Callithrix jacchus: one gene and its partners. The protein of the gene in region 6 interacts with the protein of the main gene of each other region in a pairwise test. Links are inferred from orthologs where the notes say so. Each region holds a gene or a part of one and is shown on either strand. Other genes may lie near its edges. The genes, in order: CSN2, GNG12, NIBAN1, RAI2, ITGA7, FHL2 and NRF1.

What was found.
Region 1: the proteins of FHL2 (region 6) and CSN2 interact in binary tests that used the Homo sapiens proteins (3 or more experiments, as listed by UniProt). The two-hybrid records come from large-scale screens. The link is inferred for Callithrix jacchus from reciprocal best matches to the Homo sapiens genes FHL2 and CSN2.
Region 2: the proteins of FHL2 (region 6) and GNG12 interact in binary tests that used the Homo sapiens proteins (3 or more experiments, as listed by UniProt). The link is inferred for Callithrix jacchus from reciprocal best matches to the Homo sapiens genes FHL2 and GNG12.
Region 3: the proteins of FHL2 (region 6) and NIBAN1 interact in binary tests that used the Homo sapiens proteins (3 or more experiments, as listed by UniProt). The two-hybrid records come from large-scale screens. The link is inferred for Callithrix jacchus from reciprocal best matches to the Homo sapiens genes FHL2 and NIBAN1.
Region 4: the proteins of FHL2 (region 6) and RAI2 interact in binary tests that used the Homo sapiens proteins (3 or more experiments, as listed by UniProt). The two-hybrid records come from large-scale screens. The link is inferred for Callithrix jacchus from reciprocal best matches to the Homo sapiens genes FHL2 and RAI2.
Region 5: the proteins of FHL2 (region 6) and ITGA7 interact in a two-hybrid assay, tested with the Homo sapiens proteins (2 studies listed by BioGRID and IntAct). The link is inferred for Callithrix jacchus from reciprocal best matches to the Homo sapiens genes FHL2 and ITGA7.
Region 7: the proteins of FHL2 (region 6) and NRF1 interact in binary tests that used the Homo sapiens proteins (3 or more experiments, as listed by UniProt). The two-hybrid records come from large-scale screens. The link is inferred for Callithrix jacchus from reciprocal best matches to the Homo sapiens genes FHL2 and NRF1.

What each region holds. Positions count from the first base shown.
Region 1 is NC_133504.1:128,109,302-128,111,942, forward strand, and holds the end of CSN2 (beta-casein), read left to right. Parts: intron 1-155; coding exon 156-728; intron 729-2,135; coding exon 2,136-2,141; downstream 2,142-2,641. UniProt on the Homo sapiens protein: Important role in determination of the surface properties of the casein micelles.
Region 2 is NC_133508.1:105,060,266-105,064,494, forward strand, and holds the start of GNG12 (guanine nucleotide-binding protein G(I)/G(S)/G(O) subunit gamma-12), read right to left. Parts: upstream 2,801-4,229; 5' UTR 2,685-2,800; intron 2,468-2,684; exon of another isoform or gene 1,125-2,467; intron 1-1,124. UniProt on the Homo sapiens protein: Guanine nucleotide-binding proteins (G proteins) are involved as a modulator or transducer in various transmembrane signaling systems.
Region 3 is NC_133519.1:42,960,976-42,964,475, forward strand, and holds part of NIBAN1 (protein Niban 1), read right to left. Parts: intron 2,250-3,500; coding exon 2,088-2,249; intron 1-2,087. UniProt on the Homo sapiens protein: Regulates phosphorylation of a number of proteins involved in translation regulation including EIF2A, EIF4EBP1 and RPS6KB1. May be involved in the endoplasmic reticulum stress response.
Region 4 is NC_133524.1:18,515,301-18,519,397, reverse strand, and holds the start of RAI2 (retinoic acid-induced protein 2), read right to left. Parts: upstream 2,801-4,097; 5' UTR 2,597-2,800; intron 2,402-2,596; exon of another isoform or gene 2,005-2,401; intron 1-2,004.
Region 5 is NC_133510.1:63,955,956-63,959,455, reverse strand, and holds part of ITGA7 (integrin alpha-7), read right to left. Parts: coding exon 3,274-3,500; exon of another isoform or gene 2,953-3,273; intron 2,782-2,952; coding exon 2,650-2,781; intron 2,388-2,649; coding exon 2,268-2,387; intron 1,323-2,267; coding exon 1,115-1,322; intron 988-1,114; coding exon 794-987; intron 438-793; coding exon 349-437; intron 229-348; coding exon 101-228; intron 1-100. UniProt on the Homo sapiens protein: Integrin alpha-7/beta-1 is the primary laminin receptor on skeletal myoblasts and adult myofibers.
Region 6 is NC_133515.1:15,512,195-15,516,175, forward strand, and holds the start of FHL2 (four and a half LIM domains protein 2), read right to left. Parts: upstream 2,801-3,981; 5' UTR 2,686-2,800; intron 1-2,685. UniProt on the Homo sapiens protein: May function as a molecular transmitter linking various signaling pathways to transcriptional regulation. Negatively regulates the transcriptional repressor E4F1 and may function in cell growth.
Region 7 is NC_133512.1:117,548,523-117,552,022, forward strand, and holds part of NRF1 (nuclear respiratory factor 1), read right to left. Parts: intron 2,093-3,500; exon of another isoform or gene 2,090-2,092; coding exon 1,861-2,089; intron 1-1,860. UniProt on the Homo sapiens protein: Transcription factor that activates the expression of the EIF2S1 (EIF2-alpha) gene. Links the transcriptional modulation of key metabolic genes to cellular growth and development.

The DNA of each region.
Region 1 (2,641 bases), on a different chromosome or scaffold from region 6:
ATGACTCAAGATAATTTCTTAATCAAAATAAGTGAAAGATTTTCTTCCTCCCTTTTTACTCACTTATCACTGTCTAAAAGAGAGAAATCACTTCATTATGAATGGCAATTATAGCTGAATCAAGGACTTCAACGATTCTTTTTCCTTCTTTCCAGGAGGAACACCAGGATAAAATCCATTCGTCTTTGCAGCCACAGCCTCTAATCTATCCATACGTTGAGCCTATCCCCTACCCTTTCCTTCCACAAAACATTCTGCCTCTTGCTCAGCCTGCTGTGGTGCTGCCTGTCCCTCATCCTGAAATAATGCAAGTCTCTAAAGCTAAAGACACTGTCTATACTAAGGGCAGAATGATGCCCATCCTTAAATCTCCAACGATGCCCGTTTTTGACCCTCAACTCCTGAAACTCACTGCTCCTGAAAACCTGCATCTTCCTCTGCCTCTGTTCCAGCCCTTGATGCACCAGGTCCCTCAGCCTATTCCTCAAACTCTTGCGCTCCCTCCTCAGACTCTTGCGCTTCCTCCTCAGACTCTTGCGCTCCCTACTCAGCCCCTGTGGCCTGTTTCTCAGCCCAAAGTCCAGCCCATCCCTCAGCAAGTGGTGCCCTACCCTCAGAGAGATATGCCTGATGCAGCCTTTTTGGTCAATCAAGAACTTTTACTGGACCCCACCCGCCAGATCTACCCTGTGACTCAGCCAATTGTCCCAGTTCATAAGCCCATTAGTGTAAGTCCAAATTTACTGACTTTGCTGTTTCATTTAAGATGTGTATGTGATGGTAGAATGAAAGAATAAATGTACAGTAAATGAATTTTAAAAAAAGTTTAGTTAAGTGATCCTTAATGCTTACCTATGCAATAGAATCTCCTGGAGAAATATTCCCTTGCAAAACCCAATGCCAATGCCTACCCAGAGATTTTTTTTTTTTAATGAGGGATTGTGATTGACGTATATGCCATATTTCCATGTATATAATGTGTACCTAACTTAACAGTAATTTGAAAATTATATATACATTGACATATAAATATACATATATGTATGTAACTTTGCTAAATTGTGCTTTTTGTTTTGCTTATACTTTAATAAAGAAGTAGTGAAAGACAAATGGAAAACAAATTAAAATAGTGGTCTTTTAGGAGGAGGGAAAAAATAGAGATAGAAGAATGCTAGATTTCTCTGAATGTACCTAGTTTTGGAGTTTTGACTTTGAAACCATGTAAATGTGCCACATAATTAAAGAACACTTAAGTTACAAATCAATCCCAAAAAATAAAAGCAAACAAAAGAAAATAAACTTTAGTTATATTTCAAGTTAGCTTCATAACCACACAAAAATGAAGAATTTCAAGTTACTTCAAAACATAATATTTCACTCTAATCTTTAGAGGGATATCCTCTAAGACAAGAAGAGTATCAAAGTAATCTGAAACGACATTTAGTATTCTTATAATTTATGTGGGCATGTGTATACATGCCTTTGTATGTATACATAGATACATAGATACACACATTAGGATAAAGCGAATAAATAGTATAAGAAAACGAAAAGATATACATATAAAATCAGGCTAGGTGTCATGGCTCACACCTCTTTTTTTTTTTTGAAAGAAAAAAAGGAGAGAAGGAGAGGAAGAAAGCGGAAGAAAAAAGAGAGAGAGAACAGGAATATTGCTTTATTCTAAAAACAGTTATTAATAATGGCCGATCAATATTTTGTGTATTTAAAGTGGAGAGCTCTATAAATATTTATGATTCTTGATATGATTGTTCTGGTTTTCTGTGTAGAGGAAACTGAGTGTTGGGTGGGGGGGAGGGGAAACTATTGTATGAATTCTGATTTAATTAGTCTGTTGAGAATTCTCATTTAGATAAAGTAATTAAAGCTTACAAAAGCTGGAATTAAATTTAATAATATTATTGAATTTGGAACAAAAATGCTAAAAAATGTTCTATCATTTCCCATGTGCACATCTTTTTCACACATGCTTTACTTCACATTGTGTTTTTGCTATAAGTATATATAAAGTCAAAAGATTGAGATGCTTATTTCTCTACTTACAACATTCTTAAGCAAGTTTTCTTACCAGGAAGTTAATTATTGACTTATCTGTATTTGTTTATTTTTTTAAGGTCTAAGAGGATTTCAAAAATAATGTTCCCTCCTCATTTTTGGTAAGTTTTGGGAGTTTGGAGATTAAATTGATCATTTTTACACATGATGTCTTTTTACATTTAATTATCCTAAAGAAGTCCAAGACAGTAAAAATTCCATACATACAAGAAATTTTTCAAATTAATTATCAACTTATTTTCAATGGTTGACTATCACTTACTGAACTGAAATTATCTTTTGCATTTCAAATAACTTTAATTTTATTTATGTACAACTGACAGACTTGACTGGCTTGCTTTCAAGGGCCTGTATACTTACATTTGATTATCATTATTTTTAGGAAAAACAGAATATATGTCTTATTTTATTTTTATAGAAATACATTTGCATTTTGTCAAAAACCTACTTGCAATTTTATTTCTAACCTCGCTTTTATAAACTTTGTATTTACTTAAAATTGTCTTTTAATTCATGAGTCAAAATTACTCCAAGTGTACAGGTTAAAAAGAGGAGAGAATAGCAT
Region 2 (4,229 bases), on a different chromosome or scaffold from region 6:
GCTGTGGTAGAAACATCACACATACACACACACACCAGTTACTTTCCAAGGAATTTGAGACTGCTCTACCTAGCAATTCCAGAAGGTTCAAGCTGCCCCCTTGCAATCCATCCAGTAGCCTGCTGCGTGAATACGCTAGACAAATATCTAATAATTTTGACCATGTACTGTGTTAAGTTCAGTGTGTTTTCCAAAGATTGTTTCATATACTTTCTTTAAAGCCCTACAGTTAGAGACCATTTTTATCCCCATCTTATAAATCAGACTGAAAAAGGTTAAATAGCTAATATTCTCATCTAAGTCTGTCTGACTCCAAAGCCAACACCCCAAATCACTGTTAAACAAGTTTCTCTTCCAAGTTAGGGCTCAGAAAAATTTACTTGACTTTCACAGCTCTCCTTCCTAGGTTAAGATTAAGCTGACATAAAGCTCTAAAACAAAGCAAAACACAATAAATCACGTATTTCTAAATTTGAATTTTTTTTTCCTGTGAGAGTGAAGTTTCAACAATAATTTAAAAATAAAACTGATTTGATATTGGCTAACCACTTCCTCCAGGTTTTTAACCAGGAAGCCCTTTGCTCTCACACTTTTAACAAACCACAGATATTCTCTAACAAGTGACAAAACAAATCCACAAATCTAATTGTTAGAGAGCTAGTTTTTCAAGTAAGATTGGAGCTTTCTGGACAGGAAATTTTTATAATACCATTTTTTCAGGCTCTTGGGAAACACAGATTCACATTTTCATATATTTCTATACAATTCTAAGTGTTGTGTGCCCTATTGGGGGTTCAATATCTAGTAAATTACGCGGGTTAAATATAGCAAAAATAGTACTGCCTTACTTATAAGGTCTAACCACGCAGTAGACTGTTCAGCATTTTTTGGACGTAAACCACGGCTTTACGGCGCTGATTAACTATTAGAGAAGGCAAAGGGACTGAATATTTTATCTGAAAGTCCTTTTATCACTTAAGTCTCTGTAAAATGTTCGATTACTTTAAAAATTGTGCGTGTGGGTGTGTGAATCACATGTTAGTTTACTAGAAAAGGGGCTTGCTAGTACATACAATTTGGTCAAAAAAAAAAAAAAAAAAAAGAAAAACATAACAGCTCCTTACTTGAATGTGATTGTTTTGGCAACAGTAAAATTCAATCCCGTCGTTCTAGCGCTTCCTGCCTTCCTGGTTCTCCTAGGTGAGGGCCGCCATCCTGCGATAATTTACTTCGAGAGCTGAGAAGCGCTGGCAAGGGTGCAGTCTGGTGACTAGCACTTTTAAAAACAAAGCCAAACTCCGTTTTTAAAATAGAGAAGGCACAGACGCAGACCCTGCCTCTGACGACAGCCAAAAGATTCATTATAGACGGCCTATTCAGGCGAGTCTACAACCGCCCCAGGAAATATAAACTGTGTCGGCCAAGACAGCAGGGGGGAGAGGAAGTAACTGATGGGAAGGAAGCTAATCATGTGAAGTTTGTCCAACTCCACAAGGTCTAATAAATTCCCGTTTGTTTCCGCTGGGAGCAGCCATTAAACGTGTCCTGACACGTGGGCGCAGGAACCTCCCTTGTACCTCTGGTGTGGAGCGATTTCCTTCTCGATCCACTTGTTTGTATACAACCACGCCCGGCAGGATGACCACCAGATGACCGGCCGCGGCAGTGCCTCCACTCACTCCCACTTAGGCAAAGTTTCACTCCACCGCGGCGACTTGAACCAGAATCACGGCTTCCTTATCGTGAGTTATGAATGATTTAAGCCAAGTTTACAGGACACGCAAAGCGAGGGACGAGTGGGTGACGGGAGGCGCTAAGTGACAGCGTTTTAAAGTTAGCTTTAACTGATATACCCTAATTAAAATGAAAAACAGAAGTCACCCTGATCCACGGGATAATTGTCGGGCAATAATTTTTTTTTTTTTTTTTTTTTTAAGAAAAAAATCACTCAAGACTGAGCCTCAGCCTCCCCCTTACCACCTGCAAAAACAGTCTGCAGAAGGGCAGCCTCGGGTCCCTGCTCTGGGGTCCCTCGCGGGGTGCGTCCTGTGGGCTACTCCCTCTGCGACCCGCTATTTCCCGGCTAGACCCCCAGCGCCCAGCGGGTTCCAAGGCTGCGCTCCCGCCGGCTAGTCCCGAGAGGTAGAAAGTAGGCAAAGGGGCGTGGCGTCCCTGTCGCCCCCAAATGTCAGCCCTCCAGCGCCTGGCACCACAACGAGCCAGGGCTGGGAACACTCGGGCCTCCCAACTGGGCGCGGGGCACACAGCCGCAGGCTGCCGAAGAGGCGAGCTCGCTGGCGGGGAGGCTTTTCCACCCACCCCCAGCCCCAGCCCGAGCCCCAGCCCCAGCCCCAGCCCCAGCCCCAACCATGGGGGCGCCGGCTTCCCGCGACCTCGGGCGGCCGCTCGTCGAGGGCGCGCGCGCTGTTTCTGCCTCTGGTCAGGGTGCCCCTGGCCCCCTTCTTCCCCCTCCCCCCGGTCTCCGGCGCCCAGCGCCCCGACCAGTCCCCGCCCTCCAGGACACTCTTCCCTCCTTCCTTCCTTCCTCCGCTCCCTCCCTCCATCTCGCTTCCCAGCACCCGGGACTCGGAGGCGGCCCCCGAACTCGCTGGCCGACGCCCCGCGCCGCGCCCCGACCCCGCGGGGACCCGACTCGCCACCCGCGCCTGCCGCTGGGTGCTCACCCGTCTGCCGGTGCGCTGCCCCGCCGTAGCCGCCGGGACTCGGTCACTAAGGGCTTCAGGAGACGGCTCCGACCTCTCCTCCTCCTCCTCCTCTCGCTCCTCCGGGCGCCGGCTCCGCCTCGCTGGGGTGGGCGGGGCGGCGGCGGCCCCGGGCTCCTTCCTCCGCGCCCGGCCCTGCCTCCCGCCCAGACGCCCTGGCTGTGCCTACCCGGGCCGCGGAGCCCGCGTGGTGGCCCAGCTGGAGGAGGGGCGAGGCCCGGCCTGGGGAAGCTCGGTGGACGTCTGGCCGTCCTTGGTCGTCCTCCTTCCCCGAATTCTCATGGAGGACCTGAAGTTCGAGGACTCGGAGGGCCCCCACTTTACGAGCCGCCCTCCGCGGGGCCACCCCGACTCCTCGCAAGTTTCCTTCGCGTGCGAACGCCTCGCCAGCCCCTGTGCCAGCGGTCCCCAGGGCCGCGAGGACGAGCGCTGCCAAACCCCTACACAAAAGTTAGGCTTTGCTCCAGAAACTTCAGAGGAAAACACTCACAGTAACATTTAAGGGCCCTGGGGCCACGGAGAGATGTTTCCCAGAAAGTGGAGGTGTAACTGCCGATTGTTGAGTTTGTGGTACATCCACCTACCATGAGCTTCCCGTCCATCTGCCCCACCCCCGTGCAATTTGTTTCCGAATGTCCAGTACCTGGCAGAGTTCTACCTAATGAATTAATTGGACTTGGTTGGTCTTTTCCGGCAGGGTTCAAAGTTGGGTAAATGGAGGAGCCATTTCTACTTCCATAGATTTCGTGCTAGGGTCATTTGACAAACATTACCGAGCATCTGCTGTGTACCAAGCTCAGTGCTAAAGGTGATGGGAGAGGTATAAAAATGAATCAGACAGGGGGCTTGCCCTCTTGGAGTCCAGAAAGAGTAAAGAAGCTGGATGTGCAGAAAACCATTCAGCGGACTTCTAGAGTATCCCTAGGTAACTGCTTTCTTGTTTGACAGGGTGGAAAGAAAAGAGGTGAGGCCAAAGTAGGTCACTTAGAACCAGTGTGGGCAGAGTCCACATTTGAAATGGAGTCTGAAAGCATTGGTGAGGGATGTCTGTGTATTGAGTTTCACCAACTAAGGACAAGTGGGCCCTGGGGAATCTAAGAACGAAGGACTGCAGTCAGGGCATGATATTCCCTCTTGCTTTCCTTCTGACCCCTAGGCAAGTATCAGGTTTAGTGAAATCATTTGCACATGTAGAAGAGGTGTCACAGGTTGAGTAAGTGTATGAATGCATGCCTTGCCCCAGGATTGTGGTCTTAGCAAGCTGCTGATGGCAGTGGTTGTTGGGGTGCAAGCCACAGCCTGCCAGAGGGGTCTTTATTTCCTGTTCTATTGAGCATTGGGACATGCTTGACTGATTCACATATATTCACAGTTCAAAGGATACACCTGAAACAGAACAGCTTGATACTACAGGGACTGAGAGGGTGGCATACTGGAGTTTGTGTTTTGGCTGCAGACTACAGAATAGACTCTTCTAAGCCATACCACTAATTTCCCTTGCTGGGA
Region 3 (3,500 bases), on a different chromosome or scaffold from region 6:
CCGCCCGCAGGCCTGGCTACGTGGACCTGGAGAGCAGCGGCCATCACAGAGGAGTCCTCTCGGCGGCTCCTCCAGGGGTGATCCAGGGCAACATCACCCCACCACCAGGGCTGTGAAACAAAAAGTTACATGGCCACAGTGGGAGCAGGAAGAAGTTGGAAAACCCCAAACCACGGGACTGAACAAGCATTCTGTCACCTCCGTGGGCACTTCTGTTCTTTGATACCTGCAGCCACTGATTAAGGGATGAGGCGGGAGCCTTCTTCAACTCGTTTTTGGCTGCGCCTCCACTTTTAAGTGGATGTAACCACTCTGCAGCACATCCCTTCCTCTCTCTGCAGTGCTGGGAAGAGGGGCAGGTCAGGGATGGCTGGGGACAGTGGCTGACACGCTCATGGGTCAGAAAGCAGAATTAGTTCAGGTATCTTATTCTCGGCACCTTTGCCTGTGTTCCCGTCACCAGAGTCCAGTATTTCGAAAGAGATTTCTGCTAAACTGTTGCCCAATTTTGTTCCTTGTTCCTCTTTAATTCCTTACAACTCAAGGGTTAGATAAAATGTATCATTTATCCTGCCCGTAATTTTTATGAAAAAAAAATGTTCCTTTCTTCCCCTGAGATCTCAAAGCATCCAATATATACTTTTTTTTTTTTTTTGAGACATAGTCTCGCTTTGTCGCCCAGGCTGGAGTGCAGTGGCACAATTTTGGTTCACTGTAACCTCTGCCTCCAGGGTTCAAGCAAATCTTTAGCCTCAGCCTCCGAGTAGCTGGGACTACAGGCACACACCACCATACCTGGCTAATTTTTTTGTATTTTTCGTAGACATGGGATTTCGCCACCCTGTCCAGGCTGGTCTTAAACTCCTGACTTCAAGTGATCCACCCTCCTCGGTCTCCCAAAATGCTGGGATTACAAGCGTGAGCCACTGTGCCTGGCCACAATACATACCTTTATCACACTTTCAACACTGTAGTGAATTTATCTAAGAATATGCCTCACTCAAGCTCCCTGAAGTGGGATCTGGTACACGTCCGGCCCACAGTAAGCTCTGGTTAGAGTATCTGTGTGAAATGGCATGGCCTTTAGCACTTTCATGAACACACCCTGGTTCATTTAGGAAACACCATAATATGGAAGGAGTTTGTGCTATTCATTCCTGTTCCTGGGGAAAAGTTTCCTTATGAAAAAAATAAAAAGAAACTTGTCAAGTAGACACAAGAAATTAAAATATGAAGCTGTAACTGATTGTTTGATTGATTGGTTTACTGTTAATTACGTCAGGGAATTAATTTAAGCCAGTGGTTCTCATTCCTGGCTGCATATTAGAAGCAGCAGGAATCAGGGTAGGGAAGTTCTATCACAAAGTAGCCATATAGGCTGGGCATGGTGGCTCACGCCTATAATCCCAGCACTTTGGGAGGCTGAGGCAGGCAGATCGCTTGAGGTCAGGAGTTTGAGACCAGCCTGGTAACACAGTGAAACCTCATCTCTACTAAAAATACAAAAATTAGCCGGGTGTGGTGGCACATGCCTGTAGTTCCAGCTACTCGGGAGGCTGAGGTAGGACAATCACTTGAACCTAGGAGGCAAAGGTTGCAGTGAGCCAAGATCACACCACTGCACTCCAGCCTGGGTGACAGAGTGAGACTCCATCTCAACAATAACAAAGTACACACACATGCACACACACACACACACACACACACACATACATGGTATGTATAGAATCAGAATCACTGGGGATGGAGCCTAGACATCAGTATTTCCCTCAGGTGATTCCAATATGAGCCAAGGTTAAAGCACTAATGTGACAAATCAAGTAGTTATCAATTAATGCTACTTTATTTTTCTGAGCTATGTCTTCTCTATGATGTTCATCCACATGGAAGGAAGATGAAGCCAGTGGAGGACAGAACCTGTCCTCCCTCAACATGACGGCTAAAGAGATGCGATGTATTTCCCTGAGCTATGCTAGCAGCTGGTCTCACAGGCCAGCACCCATTTCTCTGCTCTCTCTCTACCCTAATCACCACGGATGCCCCTGCCACACTCACCTAATCACCACGGATGCCCCTGCCACACTCACCTCCTGCATGTAGTTCTGTGTCCTCTGAACCACCAGATCAACGTGGGGGAATCTGAAGCGGCTCTTGAGATCCTGCAGGTGCTCATGAAGCAGGTTGACTTTAGTATAACAAGGTTCCATCTTCATGGAATGCAGCGGAAGATTCATAAGCTGGTCTAGATGCTGCAGTTTGGTGAAAGGAAACATTAAACACCCTCAGATTTAGAAGTGGTATTGCATGCATATTGCATGTTACATACATTCTAAACAATCAAATGCATGTTGATAAAGTGAATCACTACTCAGATCCCTACATCTGTGACACCTTCAATTGGCTTATTTTCCTCCGGTTCCTAGGGCAGCTGTAATGCTAGGACAGAAACCAGCAGAAACACCAACTGGATGATAGGAAGACCCAGGGGAGCACCCAGGGGGACTCCAGTCTTTGTAAGCTATTGATAGACTCTAAGCTCCCACTTCCAGAGCTTAAGAACCAGGCAGGCAGACTCTGACACATGGTTGCTGCTGGGCTCTCAGGCTTCCAAAACCTTCTTTAATGAGTGACGCTCCTCTTAAAAAACCCCAGGGAGGTCGGGATGCTCCCTGGACTCCTGGACTTTGGAAGGGAAGCCAGAGTTCGTCACAGTTCTGTGAGGCTCTGCCAGGGCCCACAGGGCTTCCCTCTGCTACAGGTTGCTTCAGGTGCTAGTGGATGGGAAGTGGATAGGCAGAGGCCTGACCTGGGAGAAGTATCCAGTTTGAAAAACTGGGGTCCCTCCTACTCTAGTTTGCACTCAATTGATGAGGTCATTGGGCTTCCAGGATCAGACCTCATCTGCTAAAGCCCTAAAGTGCTATCAACAGATGTCGTCACAACAGAATGCACTCTGTTTTCCAAACTTACCTTAAAATCATTTTTAAAGGGAATATTAGAGGTTTAAAATAAACAGTGGAGTGGGTGGGGTGGAAGGAGGCAGAGAGAAAGGTTCTGAACATGGAGGCTCGAGAGAGAACTGGGGAATGAGGCAGGGTGCATATGAATTATACAGGATGCACTGTCCGACTCTGCCACAGACAATAGTTTCCTTTTTCTTCTTTTCCTATCTTTTCTGTTACTCAGGGCAACCATCTTGCCCAGAGCCCATGTATTGAAACTCCTAGTAAGAGGTTTGACTAAAGATGAGGGGAGCCATCTGAGGGCAAATTTAAGCCTTGCCAGTTGGATATTGGGTGCTAAGCAGAGTGGCTAATGTCTATGTTTTATAACACGAATTTTGCTCTGGCCAGAAAGAAAAAATTAATTTTTCTTTACAATGCAGCTTGGCCCCCAGCACAATGGTGCAGCAAGCTGGGTCACTAGGGCCACCAGGGAAAGGAAACCCAAAAGCCTGGCATGCTGGCCAAAAGGTAAGAATTTCTTAACAGTCCGATTTC
Region 4 (4,097 bases), on a different chromosome or scaffold from region 6:
ATCCAGACTATCTCCATTCTGGGTCAATGGATTTGGGAGGCCAGTCCTATCCTCAGCTTCTGGGTCATTACAGCTAGAGCACTCCCAGTAACAGCTCCTCATACACCTTCCAGTCTTTGATTTTTCTTTCTTGCAGTTCAGATGGTCCTGTCTCAGGGACTCTGTATTCTGGATACAAGATTTTGAAATGTATCTTACAGTCCTTGCCTAACTGCCTATCAAACCTAGTTTTCACCCCAGCAAGCAGCATCACTTGGAAAACTGTCTTTTCATTTGCTCAGATGTTCCTCAGATGAACTGGTTTTCCTGGGCAGAAGGTCACCACTGGAGGTCTTGGCTTTTTTTCATCATAAAGGAACCCCTTCGGGTGGCTGAATGGTCCCCTGGGCTGGTGCCAAAGTAGCCACTACTCCTAAGTTCCAGTCTGACTTGGTTCACAGTGTCTGGGCTGCCCTGGGGATGCCTCTAGTGGGCATCTGTCAGGACGAGAAGCGGGTGCCCATTTGAAGGAGACTGTGTATGTGAGGTGTGGGGGAGGTGGCTTCTCTGGGCTTGTAAGGGGCAGGGAAACTGGGATGCCACCAAGCTTATGATTCTCTGCCTTCCAGCCCACCCCTGGCTTCTCAAGTTCCCGTTTGAGAAGAAAACTAGCCTCCATACTGTCCCCTTCCACATTGTCCCCCTCCCACCTTGCCACCCCTCTACTGTAACAAAGGCATGTCCACACCACATTTTCAAAGTTATCACAAGTCTCTCGGTCCACCAACAACCAATTCTGAGGACTCCAAAGGAGCAAGAGAGACATCTAGAAAACGGTGGGAAAGATTTCCTGGGAAAAGCACAGAAAACCTTGCCTGACTCATGCAAGGCTAAGAATTGTTTTCTCCCTGCTGGCTGCTTTTCTCTTTATTCTAAAGAGAAGCTTCCAAGAATCAGCTAAATAAAGGGATCACACCAGAGGATGCGAGATAATGCTAAACCAACAAAAACAAAGACCCAAATGAAACAGAGAGAGCCATGAGAATACGCGGTTATCAAAACTTTGTTTGGCCATATCTATTTATCATCGCTGCACACCCGGGCTCTGCGGAATATCATTCTGTTGATGTCACTTATCCTCAGCAAAATATTTACACATCCTTAAAAACGCCAGATGAGGGGGGCCAGCCCGCGCACTGCCGCAAGCTGCCCCTCAAACCTCATCGCCAGGTTCTGGGCAGCCCAGGATGTAGGGGCACGACGGTGGGTGGCACCAGCGGACACAGGTGAGAGCTACCAACAATTCCTGGAACATGGTCACCCAGACGCTGCGCCGTGCCCTGCCCACCTCTCCCCTACCTGACTCTGCAAGCAGCAACCACATACTCGATATGGTATTGGCGCCTCCTTGTCCTCCTCTCCTGCCTTTTTCATTGATTAAGTTCTCAAACCATTGTTAGAGCTGGGTTGCTTTTTCTTGGAAAACTGGGCTAAATTCATTAAGCTTCCCTTTGCCACAAAAGGAATATTCATAAAAGTTTGGCAGGCAGAAAGGGAGGCTGAGTGAGTGTCATGGTGCCGCTGACAATCGGCTTCTCCAAAGCCACCCTCTTCTTCCGTGCCCCATCCCTCTCTCCATCCATCCGTCCTGCCCCAAACCTACTCCAGGGACTTCTGATAGGGAAACACAAAGCAGCAGCTGTTTGGCAACATTTCTACCCCTCGCCAGCAACTGTGGTGGGATGCCATTTCCCCACCCAGGCGGAGCTTATCCTGAACAATAGTCGGGCTTTAAATGGCAAACAAACAAACAAACACACAGAGCACAACCCCAACCCCGAAAAAGCTACCGCGGAGAGAAGCAGTAACTCCCTCCACAGCAAAAGGCGCCACTGAAAAGCACGCAAAAATGCAACGAGAACGTTGCTCTGTGCCTAACATGGCAGAAAGCCCGAGCTGGTGCGGCCACCCCGGGGCTGGGCATTGGGGGGCACCGGGGCTCCCGGGGCGTCGGTGCACACTCACCCGGCTCCGGGGGAATGCGGGGCTGGCCGCGCATCACAAAGAGGAGCCCGGCGCGATCTGGCAAAACCCAACTTTCCACCCGGCTCGCCAGGGCCGCCAGATACGTCAACAGAATCCATCTTTCGAAGGGCCTGGAAGGCGCCGGGTTTTCCCGGCCGGGACAGAACGGCAGATCCGGAGACTGCCCGGTGCGGTGCCGGGGCTCGGAGTCCGCCGTGAACCGCCCTCTGCGCCCGGTGCCAGTGCGGGCGGCGGCCCGAAACCCACTTCTGGGCCCCCGCCCCGCCGGCCGGCGCCGCCTCCCCGGCAGTCCCTGGCCCCGCCGGGCAGTGCGCGGCGCCGGGAACGGGAGCGGAGCCCCGGCGCGCCACACGGGCGGCGGCCTCGGCCAGCGTCCCCGCCCCCGCCCGGCCCTCCCCGCCGGCCCCGGCCTCCGGGCGCCGTCCTGCCCCCGGGAGCAGGCCCCTCCCCGGGCGCCGGGCCCCGCCAGGCGCGCCCAGCCCGGCGCGCCCCCTACGTCCTGATGGCAGGTCTGCGCGAGGAGTGGGGGGGGGGGTGACCCCGGCCCGCACGGGGGCGCCGCGGCCGTTACCTTGGAATCGCGGCCGCCGCCTCCAGGAAGCCGCGGGGTGGTCGCGGGTGCGGGAACTCTCGGGTCTGGCCTCGCCGCCGGCCGCCTGAAGGGGGTGCGCCGCGGTGGGAGCCGCCGTCGCCGCTGTCACCGAGCCGCTGTCGCCGCCGCCGCTGCCGGTTGTGCGTGAGCGTGTGTGCGCCTGTGTCCGGGCGAGTGTGTGTCTGCGTGCGGCGCCCGGCCTTTACTATATACACCAAGGGGTGGGAGGAGGCGGGGAAGGGGAGGGCTTGGGGGAGGCGGCGGAGGAAGGGGAGCAGGAGGGGGGCGAAAGGGTACCCGAGGAGGCGGCGGCGGAGGAGGGACAGGTGATCTCGCCCACGGGGAGGGCGTGGCCCTGGGCGGCGCGGGGTGCCTGGAGGAAGGGGTGTCGGGGAGACCTTGTGGGGAGCGCCGGGGACGGCTGGAGGAACTGGGACCCTACTGCCTCCCGGCGGACTGGGGACCATTCCAGACCCCAGGATAGAGAAGAGCGAGGAACAGAGCCCAGGAGGGAGGAAGTGACTGGCTGATGGAGCCAGGGGAGGTGGGAAGAAGAGCCCAGAGATCACCCGAAAATTACAATTGTGATACCGGTGGAAGATGCTTCTTACAAGGTGGGAGATTAGAAAAGATCAAATTAGTCCACCTACATAAGGTAATTTCCATCCAAGAGGTGATTCATGTATCAATCTATTAAACCTTTATTAAGCGCCTAGTGTTTGCCAGACACTGGGCTAAGAACTGGAGTTACAGGGACGGTGACTGTATCATTGCTGACCAGCAAATAAGTGGTAGGTGTCAGTTGTACTATTGACCATTTTAAAATTGAAAACAATAAATCCTTAGAATTCTTGAGACAGCGAAGGAAGCAACCAAATTGGTTTAATGAATCTCCAAAGATGTAAAGATTTTTTCTATTAATCGAAACAGGATGAAGATATTTGAGAGAGAATAGCAGAGCAGAAATTATTTAATCAGAGCAGAGAACAGAATGAATCTGTCTGTTCTTGGTAGTCTCCAGCCCCCTGAAGTTCTAATACTGTGTGTATTAACCACGACTTTCCTCTTATCAAATCTGAGTTTTATAACACAGTTTATAATTGGTATGGGAACCTGAATTTGCGTTCAAAAGGCTCTATTCTAACCCTGTTGTGTTGCAGGCATAAAGTGGTAGTCAATGAGGCTGAATGATGAGTGTCTTGAGCACTTGTGCCTTTGTGGACTCCTTCCTCTGTAGAAAGATATTACAAATTACATGTTACAATTGCATTAGTGTAAAGATGAATATAATAGTATTTATATTAAAACAGTTTCTTCAACCTAAAAAATCATTTTTCTTATTATTTTAAAAGAAATTAAAAGATTTCTGTGGGTCCTTAAAAGTCCAGTGAGCCCCAGGCACTGTGTCTACTAGGCCTAAAGGAGAAATCAGCCCTGGTAAGTAGTACCATTCCTTGACACTGAATCTCCTCTTTTGAAA
Region 5 (3,500 bases), on a different chromosome or scaffold from region 6:
GGAAACACTCTTAAGCATCAGATTTGGCCCTGGGGTGGGGGTCAGAGTCACAGGGAGGGGCTCACGGCCTCAGGGAGGGAGAAGGTGCTGAGGGGTTCACCTGAAGAGCACGGCAGAGTCAGCCAGGGAGCCCACCAGCAGGTCAGGGTATTGGTTCCCATCCATATCCAAGTTGCCTGACAGGGAGTAGCCGAAGCTCTTGATGCCCACAGCCTCACCCTCCAGCACCTAGAGAACCGGCTGTCAGCCTCCCCCAATCCCACCTCCCACAGGCCTCTGCCTCCCCTGGTGCCTCTGCTGCCCTGATTCCACCCACACACCCACTCCCTCATCCCAGACTCCCTTCACCTGTGAAGGTTTGGCGACAATGCCCAGGCTGCTCCCATGGTAGATGAAGACTTTCCCATCCCCATCAAAGGGGGCACCCACTGCAATATCTGCAGGGCACAAAGAAAAGGCAGTCACGCTGGCTGGGAGTACAGACAAGGTCCAGGCCTCAACTCTCCCCCAGTCACTCAGGTCTGTTTTCTATTTTATTGGGAGGCTACAAAATCCCAGGCACTCTATAAACATCATCTTCAATCCTCTTGGCCACTCCCCGCAGATATTACTATCGCAAAAAGGTTAGGTAACTTGCCAAGGTCAGAAAGCTGGGAAATGGTAAAGCTCAGACCGAAGCCCAGGGACCCTCTCTCCCTGGGTCCTCAGAAGACCACACCCTGACCTCCGAGGGGCTCCCCCATCCCTCCTCGGGCCCCTCCCTCCCCTGAGCCTTTCCAGTTCCCAGTCACACCTGGAAAGCCATCTTGGTTGAGGTCCCCCAGGACAGCCACGCTGATCCCGAACATGGAGTCAGGGGAGCCACAGAGCCGGAGCGGGGAGATTCCGGTCCAATGGCCCCCCTGGTTCAAGTACACATACACGGCACCCCCCAGCTCTTCTTGGCGCTCAAAGAAGTAGGGGGCACCCACTATCAGGTCTGGCCAGCTATGGAGAGAGGGAAACATTCAGTGTGGGTCCTCCCTGGCCAGAGGAGCCGGCAGGAGGTGCCAAAGGCCACTCAAACCTCCTGGACCCAGCCTCCCTGAGGTGGCACAGCCCTGCACCCACTCACCCATCACTGTTGAGGTCAGCCACAGCCAGCGAGTAGCCGAAGCCAGAGGTCAGGCGCTCCCCAGACAGCACAGCCTCGGGCACCAGGCGACTGGCGCTGTCCTTGCGCAGGATGACCACGGCACCCCTGTGGTTGGCACGGGGAGCCCCAGCCACAAAGCTCAGCTCTTCTGCACGCACCAGACCTTTCCCCGAGTCGATAGAGAAACCTGGGGGAAGGGTGACTTACCCCTGAGTCTTCACCCCAAGCCTCAGAAGCTGGGGTGTGTCACAGCTTCCCTGGCCCCTGCTCCCTCCCCACAGGCTAAGAGCCAAGTCACAGTTCCCCTAGCCCCTGGCCCCTCCCCCAAGTTAAGAGCAGAAAGATAGTTTCCCCCCAAGTCATCAGCACCACAGCTGGATAGCTCTTCCTCCCCACAGGGCCTGGCAGCTCCTCATACCCACCAGGCCCAGAGACAAGCTTGGCACAAAAAGTGCAGTGAGGTCAGCCTCAGGGACCGCGCAGGAGAGAGAAAGGTGATGGCTGAGAAAGCCAGGAGCCCAGGCAGGAGGCTGAGCACAGCGGCCCCACCCTACCCACACCCAGGGAGCTAGAGGAGAGGGCCAGTCTCTCTCCAGCCCCAGTCCCACCCAGTGCACCTCTTTCCCCCCACTGCCTCATCCTGGCAGGGAGGGGAAGTCTTTGCATGGATGAGGGGGAGGCAAAGGGGAGTGAGAGAGAGCCTGCTTCACCCAAACATCTCCCAGGCCTGGTTTCCTCCTCCTCTGCAGAGGGACGCAGATGAGACAATGGTAAGTTACCAACAACACTGGCCCTTTCTTCAGTATGTGCCCACCACCCATCCCTCAGGGAAAGTTCCCTAGAAGGCAGGACTGTCCTTCCCAGGATATCCTCAGCCCTGGCCCTCTCACTCCACCTGGATCTTCTATGGAGACCCCTGGCTCACAGCCCCAGAGGCCATCACCCTTGGGGCCTCCTCTTCTTAGGCCTGGTCACTGGACCCAGCTCTTTTCTGCAATTTGGGCCCAATGTGTGTCTCCCTGCGTGTGTGTTGGGGAAGAGGAGATTTTAAGGCAGCAGAGGTCGAGTTCCCTGGGGAAGGAGGGGAGGCTGGGCCACGACCCTAGAGTCCAGGAGGTGGGAGCTTACAAACCTAAGTAGCTATTCAGGGCCAAGTCTCCGGCTGGTCCTGGGAGCCGGTCAGCAGGGTCCAAAGTTTTATACACCAGCTGGTCAGGGTCTGAGCTATCAATGTTGGTCACAAAAAGCAACCCTGTGGGGGGTGGGGGGAGACACCAGGGAGGGAACATCCAGAGAGGGGGCCACAGAGTAGGGAGACAGAGCCACAGAAAGGCCAGAAAAAGGTGAAAGAAGAAGAAGTAGAGAGAGAAAAGAAACCAGAGAGATCACAGCCAGACAGAAAGACAGACAGGGTGAGAGACAGAAACGGAGACAGAAGGATGGGAGCATGGAGAGGGAGGACAAGAGAGAGGAGCAGAGGATTAGAGTGGCTTTGGGCCGGGAGGGGTCCCTACCAAAGTAGCTGTTGGCAGGGACCGGGATGAGGCGGGGGTCCTGCTGCTTCTCACCCCCCGCCTCGTAGGGCCCGTCGTCCAGGTGTGCCAGGTCCGCTGAGCCCTGTGCACAGAGCTCCACCCTGGCTGTGCCTGCAAGGACAGTCCTGTTAGTGCCAGAGGCAGGGCACAGGGAGCACCCCTCAGGCTGGACGCTGAGTTAGACAGGCACACGGGGAAGCCCCTCCTCTTCTTTCCAGCCCTCTCTCCACCCCCTCCCCTACCCAGGCTTCCTGGGGTCCCCAGTCGTGGCATCACACTCACCGAGTGTCAGCTCAGCCAGCAGCAGCGTGCGGAGACGGGAATGGCAGTGATGAGGTGTGGGCTAGTGTGTTGGAGCATGCGGGCCCAGTGTGCACTTGGGGCTCATGCCAGCATGTTGAGGAACACTTGGCCATGCAAGGGAAAGGTGGTACCCCCCACATTCGCGTGTGCACTAGCTCAATGGGGTGGAAGGCATGGCAGTGCCCTGGGGCCATACAGCAGTGCACACGTGGTCATGCTTGGCCATGTGCTGTCCTCAGCCCTGTCTCTGAGGTGAGAGGAGGTTTTGGTCCCTTCTCCCCTCCCCGAGGAGTGACTCACCCTTCCAATTATAGGTTCCAGGGGCCCCAAAGAGGAGGTAGTGGCTATCAGGGGAGAAGGCGGCAGCTGTGCCCTGCTGGCAGAACCCAAATTGTTCATGGCCTTGGGGTCGCCCCTCACAGAACTTCCATTCCCCACCATCCAACTCATCCCGGATGGCCAGATCCTGGCTTAGCACAAAGCAGCGACCAATCATATCCCGTGTCTCCAGGATCTGGTCCACTCGC
Region 6 (3,981 bases):
GTGGTGGTACATGCCTGTAGTTCCAGCTACTTGGGAGGCTGAGGCAGGAGAATCACTTAAACCCGGGAGGCAGAGGTTGCAGTGAGCTGAGATTGTGCCACTGCACTCCAGTCTGGGTGACAGAGCAAGACTCTGTCTCGGAAAAAAAAAAAAGTCATAAAATAATAATAAAAGAGCAGAATGAAATTCTTGCACTTTCCTCTTAATACCTAATTGTATGCTCCCCCTTAATAAAACACATCAAGTATGTTTTATGAATTGTTGGCTTCAGATGGTTTTAGTTCAGCTTAATTTTTCAGCATTGCTCTTTAACCGCAACAAAAGTCCTGTGTTAAAATGAATTTTTATTCCTCTTTTCCCTATCTAAAATGTATCCATTAAATTCAAATAAAATCCCAAATTGTAACACATTAAATTACTCAGCACTTATGTTGGTTCTTTTCTGTTTTTCATCCATATTTTAGTGTATTAGAGACTAAGTGAGGAGGTGCTGATAAATCAATGGAATAAAAAAAAATCAGTAAACCAGATTTGTAAGGCATGGGGGGGCATGTAGATCAAGGCACAAGATGGTTGAATTTTTCATGATTCGAAAGGGACCAGTACTAGTGTAGAAATCAATTACCAGATCATACTTTGAACTGATGTTATATCGCTATATTCTAACAAAATATCTTATCTAAATCTTTATGCCCTTTGACTCTTCATCCATCCAACTATTATGAATATTTTAATATATTGACTAACCAAAATGGGTCATAACGATATATAGAGATAACCAATTTTCAAGGAATTAGATTTTGAAACAGCTGTAAGAGGCATTGACCATAAATTGGACAGAAAGCAGATTACCAAGTAATTTGATTGATGTATATATGTTTCTGTTAATTATAATTTACAGTTTCCCAAATAACTTAATGTTTTTGGATTCACCTTAAAATATCTCATAGTGGGATTAAAAAAAAAATCTATGAAGTGAATGGTTTACGTCTTTCAGTCAAAGATACCTTAGAATCAATAAATAATTAAAATCAACAATAAATTGCAAGAATAGTTATCTTTTGAGTAATAAGAGTATATATAATTTTCCATTTTCTTCTTGTTGCTGGTCTGTATTTTTTATAGTAAACGTAGATTATTTGTAGAGTAAAAAAAGAAAATGTAAGCACTCAATATAATTTTAACTCATTCTTTGGTGGAGAGAGAATGAATTAAAATCAGTCTCTGGGCCATGTATTGTAAATATGAAATATTTTAGAGATCAGTGGAAAGTGTGTCCATCCCTGTGCTTCAGGTCATGGGAATGCAGTGAGAGGCATGGCTTGGCCTAGCCTCGGGGATCTGAAATCAATGGAGAACTCTGGAAGCTCTAAATAGAACAATGAGACTTAAAAGTAAGAAATGTTCTAAAAGACAGGTGATGGGTGAGCAGTCTGGGAACCCTGTGTTGGAAAATATGCAACTTTTCATGGAAGTTATATTTTAAAATATTTTTAATATAAGAAAAAGCCTCCAAAATGTAATCATTTGAGTCGATTAGTCAGCTACTCAATTAAATATAAAAACTTGGGTCAGAATGATCTCAACATATAATAAACCTTATTCCAGCCCATCCTGGATACCCCAAAACCCTGATTTGATCATTACACATTCTGTGTATGTACTGAACTACTCACATGTACCCCATACATATGTAAATTCTATTCATGTATCAATAAAATTGTAAAAGCCTAGCAATAAAATAAAATTCAAATAATATTCTTCAAGAAACAAATAAAACAATGAAAATAAACTTACATACAGCAAATATGAGCTACAACAGCGTTAACCTGTAATGCAGGTATTTATTAACACTCTTCGGACTTCAGAATAATTTAGAAACAAAAACTGGACTGACAACTTTTTCTTTTCTTTTTAGATTAGACTTGATAAAGTGTCTTGCATGGAGTCTGGCTAGAAGATATTTATATAGATGATGTCTATTATCATATATATGTCACCCTATCAGTATTGAGATTATTACACAATTGGCCAGGGCGTTACTCAGGACTGTACATCCTAGAGTTTGCCCTGCTCTGGAAATTGTAAAATATTCATGCATTTCCTTTTTAAAGCATGCAACAGCTCTCTGGACTTTCAAACCATCAGCCACTAAGAGTCATGTTGTATAAACACACTTTCCCAGAGTAATCAGACTCATCAGTAATTTGCCATTTCAGCCCAGGCTTTCCGGAAATTCTGTCAGGGAGAAAAAGTTCAAGTGCACTGTGGTTTTCCCCGTTTCCAATGTTTATAATATTTCTTCTTTTGCTTTCCCCTTAAAAAATGTTTTCTGGTGTTCAAAATGGATTCCCACTGAGTGGAGGCAGGGGCTCAATTTCATTTAAACCTCTCCTCATTCCCAATGAGCAGGGTTCTCTATCTTCAAGCCAAGGACCCTGTATCTTTGGGCAGGGTGGCTTCCGTTCCTGGGCTTTGCCATTGGTAGGAGCCAGCAGCCAGCACCACCTGCATTTCTGCTGGGGTCAGTGAGCTCCCAGTGCCTGAGAGCTTCCTCCCAGGCCTGGGACGCTCCCTGTGCATGGAGCAAGATGCCTACACAACTGCTGTCCAAGCCTGCTGCAGAGTTAGGCTGGGAAGGATGGCAAGGGTAAGAGAAGGGCATGGGGAACCAGTGGTCCTTACCTGCAGTGTCAGGGTTCTGTCTTCTGTCCTCCAGCCCGATGAGCAGGGACAGCAGCCGTGCAGGCAGATGGCCTGGTTAGATGGCCCCAACCTTCTCTGCAGCTGCCAGCCAGCTGTGCTGCCCTTGTCAGTGGTGCTATAAATAAGGTGCATCTGGACATTGGCCAGGCTCAGGAGATAAGAACCCAGTCCCTGATTCCTACATGCCTTTTAAGGCCTCCACATTAAAGGAGCCTCGGCTCCCAGAAGGGAAAGGGCTGCCATGTCCTCATTTGTCCTGCCTGCCTCAAGGTCACCTCAGACCTCACATTTTCCAGCAACCCAAAGGGTAGCTGAAGTGGAAAGGCCACCAGTGCCAGAAAGGGACCTTACTTTGGCAAACAAGAGGTAGAACCTCCAACAGGCTGCCCAGCTGCACTTCTGTCCACCCCTCAGATTAGGTGCCTGGCATGGAGGCCCAGGAGTGGAGGGACACTTCCCCCAGGCCCCACAGCCCCTCTGTGAGCTGGGAAATGTGGATTCCTAGTGCTGCCTTCCGGAAAGAGCTCACTGACCTTCTCTTTGGCTTATGAGTTCATTTGCTTGGGTGAGAGGATGTTAGGGAAGCCCGAACAATAGGCTCAATAAATGGCAGGCATTTGGGAAGCCATGGGTGAAATACATTTGCAGAAATTTCTCTCCCTCCCTTCCTCCCTGCTCATGCATGATTATAAGGGTTTCTCGAGCCACACATTGTTTTCTCTATGAAATTAAAACAGTGAAATTCCCAGAGCCTTTTAAAAGCCATATGCTGGGAGAGGAAAGAAAACTAATTTGGGATATCAACAGCTCCTGATTCTTTTGAAATTTCTTACTTACGAGTATGCTGAAAAGGCACTCGCCCATGGCGAGGGCCAACTTCTTCCGAGGATTATTTGGTGAGAGCTGTCTGCATTACCAAAACAATTCTAGGCCTGCAGATTTATCCTGAGGAAAGAATAGTGTATATGGGCAGAGGACATTTCTTGAAGCTCTTTTTTTTTTTTTTCTCAAAATTAGGAAAAGTTGGAAACAACGTAAATAGCTCAGAAGAGGGGACTGAATAAATGAGAAATAGTATATGGGCTGGGCGAGGTGGATCACACCTGTAATCCCAGCACTTTGGGAAGCCAAGGCCGATGTCAAGACATCGAGACCATCCTGGTCAACATGGTAAAACCCCGTCTCTATGGAAAATACAAAAATTAGCTGGGCATGGTGGCGCATGCCTGTAATCCCAGCTGTTCGGGAGGCTGAGGCAGGAGAATTGCTTGAACC
Region 7 (3,500 bases), on a different chromosome or scaffold from region 6:
ATGGGAGAGAATCTTCAAAAGAGTAGCTGTTAGATGAAATAGCTGAATTCTCAATAGTAACAGTGGAATGCAGAAGACAGTGGACCAGTACCTTCAACACGAGGAAAGAATAACCACCAAGCCAGAATTCCATACTCAGTGAAAACTTCAAGGTTGAAGTTTAAATAAAAATATTCATAGACAAGCAAAAACAGAATTTCCTACTAGCAGATCCATGCTAAAGCAAATACTAAGAGGTGTTTTTAGGCAGAAGAAAAACCATCTCAGGAGACCAGCTGGAGATGCAGGGGAAAAAAATTAACATTACATATAAAATAAAAATATTGTCTTGTGGTGTGTAAAATACAGTTGTCTTTTCAAATCCTCATGAGATTGGTTCCAGGATCTTGACTTTCCCCTCCCTTCCCCCAAGACCCCGTGGGCAAGGGTACCAAACTGTACAGATGCTCAAGTCCCTGAAATAAAATGGTGTAGTATTGCACATAACCTATGCATGTCTTTCCACACCACCTGTAGGTTAAGTACAATACCAAATACAATGTAAATGCTATATACATAGTTGCTATATTGTATTGGCCTTTTACTGGTATTATTTTTAATTGTTACATTGTTATTTTTTATTTTTTCCCTAATTTTTTTTATTCAAAATTGGTTGAATGTGCAGATGTGGAACCCACAGATAAAGAGGGCCAACTGTACACCAAAAATGAATACAAAGGACAACAATAGCATACATGGTGGGTGCATGAAATTCAAGTGTTCTAAGAAATTTGTATTACCCTGTAGAGGTTAAAAGTACCAAGTATATACAACTTTTTGCTTTTCCTTTTTAACTGGACACAGGCTCTCACTCGTCACCCAGGCTGTAGTGCAGTGGTATAATCATAGCTCACTGCACCCTCGAACCTCTGGGCTCAAGTGATCAGTCATCCCACCACAGCCTCTCAAGTACTTGGGACTCAGGAGCACATCACCACACCCAGCTAATTTTTTTTTTTTTTTGGTAGAGATGGGGTTTCACTACATTGCCCAAGCTGGTCTCAAACTCCTGGGCTCAAGTGATCCGCCCACCTTGGCCTCCCAAAGCGCTGGGATTACAGGCATGAGCCACTGAGCCCAGTCAACATAAAACATTGGTAAGTAAAGGATGTATGCTATAATTTCTACAGGTATCACTAATAGTAAAAGCTTATAACTTTCAAACTAACAAAAAAGAAAAAAAATACAAAATTTTCAATTACTACAAAAGAAAATGCCAAGAAAGAAAAAAGTAAACAAAACAGATAGGGTAAATAGAAAGTATATAGAAAAGAAGGTAAATTTAAATCTAAATATGTGTCAGCCATCCTGTTTAATGCAAATGGAATAAATGCTTTAGTTTAAAGCCAAAACACGGGCAGAACAGATGAAAAAATAAAACCAAAGCCATAACACTAATAGTAAGTGATCCCAGACCTCAAGTCTCAGTATAATACAGGCTCAAGTTATAACTGCAAGGCTCAAAAAAACTGTGATAAAAGCCAGGCATGGTAACTCACACCTGTAATCCTAGCACTTTAGGAGGCCAAGACAGAAGGATCACTTGAGCCCAGGAGTTTGAGGCCAGTCTGGGTAAAACAGTGAGATTTCTGTCTCTATAAAAAATACAAAAATTAGCCAGATGTCGTGGTACATGTCAGCAGTCCCAGCTACTCCAGAGACTGAGATGGGAGGATCACTGGAGCCCAGAAAATCGAGGCTGCAGTGAGTCACGATTGTGCCACTGCACTCTAGCCTGGGCAACAGAGTGAGACCCTGTCTCAAAAAACAAAACCAAAAAAATTAAAACTAAAGAAGAGCTTCTAATCCAAACAACATTACCTGCAGCAGCCAGATGAGCTGTTACCTCATCAGCTGCTGTGGAATTGAGTATATCTGAGTCATCGTAAGAGGTGTCCTCGGGAGAAGAAGGCGAGTCTTCATCAGCACTCAGCATACTGTGCTCAGTGTAAGTAGCCACATGGACCTGCTGCACCTGCTGGGCCACTGCGTGTGCTTCTATGGTAGCCATATGTTCAGTTTGGGTCACTCCGTGTTCCTCCATGAAGTTCTACTATAAGATGAAAAAGGAAAAGAACAGGAATCAGTGTGTAATATAACACAATGCTTAAAGATATTTTCTTCAAGAGCAGAGGAACCTTGACAAACTTTCCATTTTACTACTTATTGTGCCACACCAAGTCATAGGAAATGGGAAGCACTATTCAAATGTGACATAAAAATGGTCCAGTGGTGTTCCTTATATGAAACCATTTTGATGGAAATCGCTGTACTAATTTTATGCCTCAGATCACAAAATAACAGATACCCTTAATAATAAAAAGACATTCAAATATAATAATAAAAAGATATTTAAGATATCTCAGTGACTAGCATTTGACCTTGTGGGCATAAAAACACTTAGTAAATAATTGAAATACTTAACATTTTCTTTATATGTCAAAGACAAGTGAGGGTCAAACAACTTTCTTCCCAAAAATTCAAATTGGTTTTCTGCTTATAAAACTGTGCTTCTTGCAGGTATGGTGGCCCACGCCTGTAATCCCAGCACTTTGGGAGGTCCAGGTGGGTGGATCACCTGAGGTCAGAAGTTCAAGACCAGCCAGGCCAACATGGCTGGTGGTGGGCACCTGTGATCCCAGCTACTTGGGAGGCTGAAGGAGAATTGCTTGAACCCAGGAGTCGGAGGCTGCAGTCAGCCACGGTTGTGCCATTGCACTTCAGCCTGGGCAACAGAACCAGACTCTATCTAAAAAAAAAACATCAAGACTGTGCTTCTTGTAAACCTCAAAATGATAATTTATAAAGCAGTAAGAATAAAAGTTCGCTCTTCTATCACACTTATAATCTCTACTCCCCCTCACCCCAGAAGTTCATTATTTTTGAAAAATAAATTTCGAGCATACATACATAGATTTAAAATAAAAACAAGTTCATACTATATATATTGTTTGTCCTTTTCATATTACAATATATCTGGACATTGTTACATGTCAAAACATACAGATCTACCATATCTTTTTAAACAGCTGCATAATACTTTATTATATGCATGTGTCGTAATTTATATGCCAGTTGCCTGCTGATCAAATGTTTCCAAGTTTTTGCTATTATAAAACAAACATCAATGCAGTATAAAAATGTGTCCTTGTATATACAATTTTACATATTAATTCCTAAAAAAAATAAAAAATAGAACTACCACATGATCCAGCTATTTCACTGCTGGATATATACACCAAGAAACTGAAAGCAGGGTGGGTCTTGAATAGACATCTGTACGCCCATGTTCATAGCAGCTTTATTCACAAAAGCCAAAATGTGGAAGCAACCCAAGTAACCATCGATGAATACATGGGTAAAAAAATGTGGTATACACATACTGCCTATTATTCAGTCTTAAAGAAGAAAATGCTAATTAGAAAGAGGGGACCTTTCTCGACCTGATAAAGAACAGCCTC